3 linked regions of the Macaca fascicularis genome follow. The main gene of each other region encodes a partner of the protein of the gene in region 2 in a complex. Links are inferred from orthologs where the notes say so. Each region holds a gene or a part of one and is shown on either strand. Other genes may lie near its edges. The genes, in order: PRPF38A, MFAP1 and ZMAT2.

The links.
Region 1: the proteins of MFAP1 (region 2) and PRPF38A are in contact, whole or in part, in a crystal structure (PDB 5F5S), measured with the Homo sapiens proteins. The link is inferred for Macaca fascicularis from reciprocal best matches to the Homo sapiens genes MFAP1 and PRPF38A. Residues at the interface, in NP_005917.2 of Homo sapiens: Glu275, Tyr276, Trp279, Arg282, Glu283, Arg286, Arg289, Asp290, Arg294, Leu297, Glu298, Lys301; in NP_116253.2 of Homo sapiens: Tyr124, Asn125, Tyr127, Lys129, His143, Asp145, Glu146, Asp149, His153, Tyr169, Val170, Glu172.
Region 3: MFAP1 (region 2) and ZMAT2 share a complex: the UniProt entries of both Homo sapiens proteins name them as parts of the spliceosome B complex. The link is inferred for Macaca fascicularis from reciprocal best matches to the Homo sapiens genes MFAP1 and ZMAT2.

The regions. Positions count from the first base shown.
Region 1 is NC_088375.1:182,313,049-182,316,703, reverse strand, and holds part of PRPF38A (pre-mRNA-splicing factor 38A), read left to right. Parts: intron 1-708; coding exon 709-819; intron 820-2,068; coding exon 2,069-2,181; intron 2,182-2,415; exon of another isoform or gene 2,416-2,537; intron 2,538-2,802; coding exon 2,803-2,829; intron 2,830-2,943; coding exon 2,944-3,041; intron 3,042-3,514; coding exon 3,515-3,563; intron 3,564-3,655. UniProt on the Homo sapiens protein: Involved in pre-mRNA splicing as a component of the spliceosome.
Region 2 is NC_088381.1:20,398,062-20,401,716, reverse strand, and holds part of MFAP1 (microfibrillar-associated protein 1), read left to right. Parts: intron 1-571; coding exon 572-701; intron 702-960; coding exon 961-1,148; intron 1,149-2,290; coding exon 2,291-2,399; intron 2,400-2,820; coding exon 2,821-2,981; intron 2,982-3,655. UniProt on the Homo sapiens protein: Involved in pre-mRNA splicing as a component of the spliceosome.
Region 3 is NC_088380.1:147,179,337-147,181,766, forward strand, and holds part of ZMAT2 (zinc finger matrin-type protein 2), read left to right. Parts: intron 1-562; coding exon 563-636; intron 637-1,094; coding exon 1,095-1,240; intron 1,241-2,430. UniProt on the Homo sapiens protein: Involved in pre-mRNA splicing as a component of the spliceosome.

The sequences.
Region 1 (3,655 bases), on a different chromosome or scaffold from region 2:
TAGGGCATGTAGTGGAAAGAATGAGATTGTAAATTTGAAAACCTACTTTGAGGGCCCAATTCTCATAGCAATGTCTTGCTCTGTTGCCCAGGCTGGTCTTAAACCCCTGGGCTCAAGGGATCTTCCCACCTCAGTCTCCCAAGGAGCTGGGACCACAGGGACATGCCACTACATTTAGCCATTTGGCATTTTTAAAATCAGCTTTGCCTCTCTGATCTTTAGCCACTCAAATAAACATTGGTAAGCCATATCCCAGATTAAAATGGAGCCAGTTCAAAATGCATGAATCTCAACAGCTCCCGAGATCCTGGGTGTGCTGGAGATTTGGTGCTACTCTAGGGCTAGGCCTCTTCTGGTGGAACTATCAGCCATGAACTTATTAGCCCTTGGATTTTCTCTGTGTACGAAGCCCTTACTTTTGGTTCTAGGCTATACCTATACTGATTGATACTCCCATGACTTTAGAGTGTAAGATACAGGGAATACAGCCAATAGAAAATGAAGATGTTCTCTTCAGGTTTGTATTTATGTTTATAGGAGAACTTTAGTTTATAGATTCCAGGTCTGTTAAACTTATGAAAAGCTTGAACTGTCTTTGAAATGAAATTGTCTCAGCTGTTGCTCCTTGGAATCCTGAAGCCCAGTGTTGAGGTTTCAAGAAATAGGGGAAATGACAACAACCCCTAACTCTCATTATGTTCTCTGTAGAAACGCTATGTATTAGAGGAAGCTGAGCAACTGGAGCCTCGAGTTAGCGCTCTGGAAGAGGACATGGATGATGTGGAGTCCAGTGAAGAGGAAGAAGAGGAGGATGAGAAGGTCAGGCACCTGAGACTTTCAGGGTTGTAGGGGAGGGAGTAATAGAAAATGGGAATTTTTTTTGTTTTTGTACTTTAATTTTTAATTCTGTTGGCCAGGCGTGGTCGCTCACGCCTGTAATCCTAGCACTTTGGGAGGCCAAGGCGGGTGGATCACCAGAGGTCAGGAGTTCAAGACCAGCCTGGCCAACATGGTGGTGAAACCTCATCTCTACTAAAAATACAGAAATTAGCTGGTGTGGTGGCAGGTGCCTGTAATCCCAGCTACCCAGGAGGCTGAGAAGCGGGGGTTGCAGTGAGCCAAGATCGTACCACTGCGCTCCAGCCTGGGCAAAAGTGAGACTCCATCTCAAAAAAAAAATTTTTTTAACTGTAATCAAGAACAATATTCCCTTATTAAAAGCACCTCAGCTCTGCCATATACTAGTGGTATAATCTTACGCAAATTACTTAAATTTAGTTTTCTCCTATGTAAAGTGAGGTTAATGATACGTTTTTCCCCACGTCTGTTGAAAGTATTAAATAAGATTATAAACTTAAAGCCCTTAGCAGAGTATTGGCACATTATAATTGCCTAATAAATGGTGGCAGCTGTTAAATACTTGGAAAGAAATAAAACTTTTCATAATTGCACCTATCCTAAGGAATAAGCCTTGTTTAGGAGGGGGAAAATGTCAACCGCATAGGCATGTTCTTTCAATACTAGTTACAGTGCTGAAAAGTTGAAAACAACCAAGCCTGCCCAGTTGTTTCAGGAAGCAGTCAAACTTTTTTTTTTTTGGAGATAGGGTCTTGCTCTGTTGCCCAGGCTGAAGTGCAGTGGCACAATCTTGGCTCACTGCATCCTCGGCCTCCCAGGCTCAAGCAGTCCTCCCACCTCAGCCTCCCAAGTAGCTGGAACTACAGACGCGTGACAGCACACCTGGCTAATTTGTGTATTTGTTTTGTAGAGATGGGATTTCACCATGTTGCCCAGGCTGCAGATAAACTAAACACACACACATACACACACACCGGTCTGTTTCTGTTCCCTCTCTCTTCTGTGAGTTATTCTGGCTGTCTTACATAGCCCATAATAGGTTTTGTTAGTTAATAGGGTAAGTGCCTCCTTCTTTGTAGTCAGGTTACTGTGCTTTAAAGTCACTTGGAGATGGACTTTGGGACAAGATGGGGTGTGAAGTATAATTAGTGTTCCTAGATGGCTCTTTATAAGCCTGTGCTTTTTAGTGACCCAGTCATCTTGTTTCCAGTTGGAAAGAGTGCCATCACCTGATCACCGCCGGAGAAGCTACCGAGACTTGGACAAGCCCCGTCGCTCTCCCACACTGCGCTACAGAAGGAGTAGAAGCCGGTCTCCCAGAAGGTAAACCCTAGTCATTGGCCTTTTCCCAGGAGATTTTGAGCACTGTAGCCTAGAAGTTTGGATTTTAGAGAAGGAAAAATGCCAGCCTATGGAGAATGTTTGCCCAATATATTCTGTTGCTGCAAAACAGACACCTGTAAAACCTCATTGGCAGAAAACAATAACCATTTGTTTCGTTCACAAGTCTGCAGTCAGTGATTTAAGCAGAGCTTGGATAGGCAGTTTTTTAAGTACCTGTTCTGTTGTCTGCTGTCTACTGGCTGGTATGGAATTGCCTTAGCTTGGATGACAGGGGAAATTTCTCTTCTCTGTGTCATCCTCCAGCAGGCTAAGTTGGGCATTCTCATGGTAGTGGCAGAACTCAAGAGCAAACAAACCCAGTCATGCAAATGTTTTTCCAGTATCTGCTTTTATCATATTTGCAAATATCCCATTAGCCAAAGCAAGTCACGTGGCCAGTCCTAAAGTTAGAATGGGAGGGTGTTAGAGTTACATGACAAAAGACATGGATACAGAGAAGGGTGATACAGAGAAGGGTGAAGGATAAGACTGGGGGTGTTTTTGCAATCTACAATATCCAGTGCACCAACCTAGGCTTTCTTCTTCCTCTCTTTATTATAGGCGGAGTCGATCTCCCAAAAGGAGAAGGTAGGCCTTCAGTTGTTTGTGATGAAGGATAGAGCTTTGGGGAGGGAGTGGTGGTATTGGAGTTGTATGTATATTGCTAACCAGATCTGGCAGTCTAACCAGTCTTTTCTATAGCCCCTCCCCCCGCCGAGAAAGGCATCGGAGCAAGAGTCCAAGACGTCACCGCAGCAGGTCCCGAGATCGGCGGCACAGATCCCGTTCCAAGTCCCCAGGTAGAGCATGTGGGCCTTTTGCCACAGGTTGTCTTAACAAAGAAATGTAAAAGGAGCAGTTAAGCCTCCTGCAGTACAGGAGTGCCTGACTGTACTGCGTAACAGAAAAGGAAATGGACATAGAACTTGAAAATTAAGGTTCACAGCTTGACTGCACTTATAAGCTTTGCTGATAAGGTTGGCTTCAGTTTTTTCATCTGAAATTATAAGATCTAATATAATAGTGAAAACCCAATATGATGTTTGTGAAATTAGCCATAAAGCCCTTGAATGTATATGTGTTTGAACTGGTTTCATTACTCCTTTCTTTGCTCCCTCCTCCTCCACTAATTCAGAGTTGCTTCCACTAAGAGGACAGTGTCCCCTGCATAGGCCAAAAAAATATTAAGCCAATGGCAGGTATTAGGGGAGGTGAGAGTGACAGTTTAATAAGAGAAGGGTAGGATCTCATACAATGGCCTTTTCTTCCCCAGGTCATCACCGTAGTCACAGACACAGGAGCCACTCAAAGTCTCCCGAAAGGTAATGAATTGACCTCTATTTTAACTTTATTCAGAAAGTCCCAATTACAACTAATTGGACCTGAAATTTTCTGGTTTTGTTGGGGGATGTTA
Region 2 (3,655 bases):
CAAAAAAAAATCCCAATGCATCCCTATGAGTTTGCTGGCTTGCTGTGGTGCCTTAGGATGCCTCAACATACGTTTAGTATTTCAGGCCAAACTTGGCTATTTGCTCTGACATCCTAGTCTAGTTCCTTTAATCTGCACCTCAGTTTCCCCCACCTCAATACTTTAATATTGGATGGACATGGTGGCTCACATCTGTAATCCCAGCACTTTGAGAGGCTAAGGCGGGCAGATTGCCTAAGTCCAGGAGTTGAAGACCAGCCTGGGCAACATGGTAAAACCCCGTCTCTACAAAAAATACAAAAATTAGTCATGTGTGCTGGCATGCCTATAGTCCCAGCTACTCAGGAGGCTGAGGTGGGAGGATCACTTGAGCCTGGGAGGCAGAGGTTGCAGTGAGCCAAGATCGCACCACTGCACTGCAGCCTGGGTGACAGAGCAAGACCCTGCCTCAAAAAAAAAGACTTCAGTATTAATGAAGGCAAACATAATGTACTGTGTGGCTGTGGAAATGCGGTTGATGCTAGTTCATTTTTATGACATTGGTGTTACATTTGGAGATACTGTTTATCAGATTGGCTCGACATCGGAAAATAGTGGAACCTGAAGTGGTAGGAGAGAGTGACTCAGAAGTAGAAGGAGATGCTTGGCGCATGGAACGAGAAGATAGCAGTGAAGAAGAGGAAGAGGAGATTGATGATGAGGTATGATAAAGGAACATGGGAAGTTTTTTTCTGGATATAAGAAAAAGTTGACGCCTGTGCTCATTTGTTGAAGCCTTAAAAACATGAGATCACTGCTTTTGGCAGGACTCTGATCATGTTCCTTGTTTGTTGGGATAGAACTAAAAATAGAATGGTACTAAGTTGTATTTTTTTACATTTGAATTTGTTGGGTTTGATGAGACTAAAACAAAAAGCCATAGGCCATTTGACTGACCGGCTTACATATATGACTTCACAGGAAATAGAACGGCGGCGTGGCATGATGCGTCAGCGAGCACAGGAGAGAAAAAATGAAGAGATGGAAGTCATGGAAGTGGAAGATGAGGGACGTTCTGGAGAGGAGTCAGAATCAGAGTCTGAGTATGAAGAGTACACAGACAGTGAAGATGAGATGGAGCCTCGCCTTAAGCCAGTCTTCATTCGAAAGTAAGTATCTCACGAGCCAGATCTGAATCCACTTAATTACCACTTTCCAGGCGTGGAAACAAAAGTCTGTTTTCTGTTGTGCTATTCTGAAATCTAAGCACTGAGTGAAAGTGCTTTTGCTAGTGCTGTAGCCTTGCCAGACGAGCTGCTGAGGAGTATCTTGGTGTTAGCAGAGAACCTGAGTTTGTTTTCACATCTCTTTTTTTCAGTTATAGAGCATATATCTGTCCAAGGCCTTTTTTTTTTCTTTCTTTCTTTCTGAGACGGAGTGTTGCTCTTGTTGCCCAGGCTGGAGTGCAATGGCGTCATGTCTGCTCACCACAACCTCCAACTCCCGATTTCAAGCGATTCACCTGCCTCAGCCTCCCTAGTAGCTGGGATTACAGGCATGCACCACAACGTCTGGCTAATTTTGTATTTTTAGTATAGAGGGGGTTTCACCATGTTGGTCAGGCTGGTCTCGAACTCCCGACCTCAGGTGATCCGCCCTCCTCAGCCTCCCAAAGTGCTGGGATTACAGGCATGAGCCCCCGCGCCCAGCCAAGGCCATATATTTTTAAACACAAAATTAAACTCAGCAAGCAGATTCCTATTCCTTTCTTGATGGCTAGAAATCCTCCTACTTACAGGCCAGCAGGTTCTTTGCTGTCCAGGCAGTTCTCAAAGATGAACATGATTTTAGTGCTCCAAAGACCTGGGATGATGGCTGGGCACAGTGGCTCATGCCTGTAATTCCAGCACTTTGGGAGGCTGAGGCAGGTGGATCACGAGGTCAGGAGTTCAAGACCAGCCTGGCCAAGATGGTGAAACCCCATCTCTACTAAAAATACAAAGAAATTAACCAGGTGTGGTGGCAGGCGCCTGTAATCCCAGCTACTCGGGAGGCTGAGGCAAAGAATTGCTTGAACCCAGGAGGCAGAGGTTGCAGTGAGCTGAGATCACACCACTGCACAGGAGACAGAGTGAGACTCCATCTCAAAAAAAAAAAAAAAAAGACCTGGGATGACTCAACGTTTTTTGCTCTTTGAAAATAATAGAGCCAAAGAGTTTGGTTTCGTCTCATTTGGATGGGACTAGGTCTAGGGGAACAAAGCACTCCACTCTAAGGACTTTAGGCAATTAACAGGACCTCTGTGATGCAGGAAGGACCGAGTGACAGTTCAAGAACGTGAAGCTGAAGCATTGAAACAGAAGGAGCTGGAGCAGGAAGCAAAACGCCTGGCAGAGGAGAGGCGCAAGTACACACTCAAGGTACTGGGGAGTTGGCCGGGCGCGGTGGCTCAAGCCTGTAATCCCAGCACTTTGGGAGGCTGAGGCGGGTGGATCACGAGGTCAGGAGATCGAGACTATCCTGGCTAACACGGTGAAACCCCGTCTCTACTAAAAATACAAAAAAAAAAACTAGTCGGGCGTGGTGGCGGGCGCCTGTAGTCTCAGCTACTCGGGAGGCTGAGGCGGGAGAATGGCATGAACCCGGGAGGCGGAGCTTGCAGTGAGCCGAGATCACGCCACTGCACTCCAGCCTGGGAGACACAGCGAGACTCCGTCTCAAAAAAAAAAAAAAAAAAAGGTACTGGGGAGTGGTTCCAAGGATTGAGTACAAGAAAATAGTGTAATCAGGTTTGTCTGAGGAGAGTAAGGAAGTCCAAGCCGAATTGTTCTCCCTATCCAGATTGTCGAAGAGGAAACCAAGAAAGAGCTGGAAGAGAACAAGCGATCCTTGGCTGCACTGGATGCACTCAATACTGATGATGAAAATGACGAGGAGGAATATGAGGCATGGAAAGTTCGGGAGCTAAAAAGAATCAAGAGGGACAGAGAAGATCGAGAAGCGTGAGTAAAAAGATGAGCCTAGAGTTAATGCTGCTAGTGGAACAGGTTTCTAGTAGGATAGCTCTGAGACTCATTACCTACTGTGAGTTCCATTCTGGCCATCTTCAGAGTTCTTGCTGCTGGGTGAGTTTCCTATAATTGGAATGTGAGTTTCACTTGTTACAGTGAAATCAGGGAAGAGAAACACACTTTGTCGATGTGTGTCCATAATAGAGTGCCAGCCAGTGCTCCCTTTAGTTTCCTAGTAGACACAAAAATTAGTAACTGTTAGCAGTTATCTCTTACTGTGTACAACCCAACCCACAATTGAGTGACTTGAAAAAACAATTACTTTTCACAATTTTGGAGGTTGGCTGAACAGTTCCTCTACTGATTTCACGTGGGCTCACTTATGTTGTATCCAGCTAGACAGTTGACTGGGCTAGAAACTTAAAAGGGCTTCACTCACATGTCTAGTAGTAGGTGGTGGCTATCAGTTAGGATGCCTCACTTATCCTTCATTGGGTTAGACTGCCTTCCTTACATAGTAGTCTCGGTACCATTCTAAGAGGGCAAGGTCTTCTGACACTTAGGTTCCAGAACTCATACATCAATCCTGCCACATATTGGTCAAAGCAAGTCACAAGGCCGACCTAGCTTTAAGCAGGTGGAGAAACAGACTCCACCTCTGGATA
Region 3 (2,430 bases), on a different chromosome or scaffold from region 2:
CTTTGGGTAAGGAATGTGGGAGTGGCTTACCTAGGTGGTTCTGGCTCAGGGTCTCTTCATGAAGCTGCAATCAAGGAGTTGGCAAGGTAGGTCTGCATTCATTTGAATCTTAAGTGGGGCTGGAGGATCTGCTTCCAAGCTCTCTCACATGCCTGTTGTTTGGAAGCCTAAGTTCTTTGCCCCATAGACCTTTCTATAAGACTGCTCACAATAGAGCAACTGGCTTCCCCGGAGCAAGTAACCCAAACAAAGACAGAAGGCATGGTTTTTAAAATAACCTAATTTTGGAAGATATTACTTTTGACATATTCTGTTGGCCACACAGACCAACTCTAGTACAAATTGGGAAGAGACTACACAGAGTAGGAATACCAAGAGGGTGGGGCTCATCCTGAGGCTGTCTTTGAGGATGACTGCTATACTCTCTCGAGAGCCAAGGCTTTATAGAAATGAAGGCTTAACACTTCTAAAAAGAAGTTTACCTAAAAATTTGTGTTTCTTGGTTGAAAATGATAAGATCCTTAAAACCATATTTGACTCAAGTGCTGTTTCTTCCTGTTAGATATTACTGCAATGTCTGTGACTGTGTGGTGAAGGACTCCATCAACTTTCTGGATCACATTAATGGAAAGAAACGTAAGGCTTGGAGGTAGCTTGTGACTAGGGCTGGAATTGGGTTTTGGAGGTGGGGTGGAATGGAAGGGTAGGTTTTTTTTTTTTTCTTCCTCTTCTTTTTACTGATCAAAAGAAGGCTGGAGTAAGAAAGGTAGTTTCTATTGGGCTCTTTTTTGATGCCCCTATTAGAACTCTCCAGTTGTTTCAGCACAGGCCATCTTTTACTTCATTATGTAATATTTCTGGAGGCAATGGGTAAGAGGCCTTATTCTGGAGGCCATGAGACTTTTAACAGCACCCAAACCATGTGCTGCTCCTGGGCCCAGCTGACCAAGGGAGTTTCTTTTAACCGTAATTATTTGTGCTGTGTGTTTTATGAGATGTCATATGAGAAGATGTCAGAGAAGTCAGGAAAATACTTTTTGAGGGGCTGAGGATGTTTTAATGAGCTTGCCTTCTTCACTGTTGACCCCATCCAGATCAGAGAAACCTGGGCATGTCTATGCGTGTGGAACGTTCCACCCTGGATCAGGTGAAGAAACGTTTTGAGGTCAACAAGAAGAAGATGGAAGAGAAACAGAAGGATTATGATTTTGAGGAAAGGATGAAGGAGCTCAGAGAAGAGGTAAGCCTCTCCTAGTCTTCCCCTCTGCCCCAGATTTGAGTTTTATGTTATGAATCATGGGAGACCCTGTCCTCATCCCACTCCTACTCCCAGCCCCAGAGTTGTATCTCCTGAGTTCTGTATATTAGCGGAAACATTTGTTGCCTTTGTTTAGGATTCTCATGATCTGAAGGAAATGGCTCTGAAACGACTTTTTTGTCCTGGACTCTGTGGGCCTTATTATTTATTTATTTTGGCGATACAGATATTTCTCAACTTCTGACAGGGTTACCTACCGATAAACCCATCATCAAGTTAAAAATATCTTAAGTCAAAAATGTGTAATACACCTAACCTACCATAGTTTAGTCTAGCCTACCTTAATGTGCTCAGAACACATTAGCCTACAATTGACCCAGATTATCTAACACAAAACCTATTCTATAATAAAGTATTCATCTCATTAATTTATTGAATACTGTACTGAATGTGAAAAACAATGGTTATATGGATACTTGAAGTACAGTTTCAAATGCATGTCAGTTTTGCACCATTGTAAAACTGAAAAATCTTGTCAGAGCATCGTAAGTTGAGGACTCTCATCTGTATTCTTTGATTTAATTTTTTAAAAAGACTTAACTTTTTTTTTGGCCGGGTGCGGTGGCTCAAGCCTGTAATCCCAGCACTTTGGGAGGCCGAGACGGGTGGATCACGAGGTCAGGAGATCGAGACCATCCTGGCTAACACGGTGAAACCCCGTCTCTACTAAGAAATACAAAAAAAAAAAACTAGCCGGGCGAGGTGGCGGGCGCCTGTGGTCCCAGCTACTCGGGAGGCTGAGGCCGGAGAATGGCGTGAACCCGGGAGGTGGAGCTTGCAGTGAGCTGAGATCTGGCCACTGCACTCTAGCCTGGGCTACAGAGCGAGACTCCGTCTCAAAAAAAAAAAAAAAAAAAAAAAAAAAAAGACTTAACTTTCTTTAGAGCAGTTTGGGTTTGCAACAAAATCGAGAGGGAGGTATAAAGATTTCCCATATACCCACTGTCCCCCACAACATGCATAGCTTCCTCCATACTTTTTTTTTTTAACTACAAGAGGAATTAACTAAATGTACCTAGTCCTAAGGAGGCCCATGAAATCAGGCTGACTGGGTCAGAATTCTGTTTCTTCCACTTACTGGCTGTGAATCTTGGGCAAGTTATATAACCTCT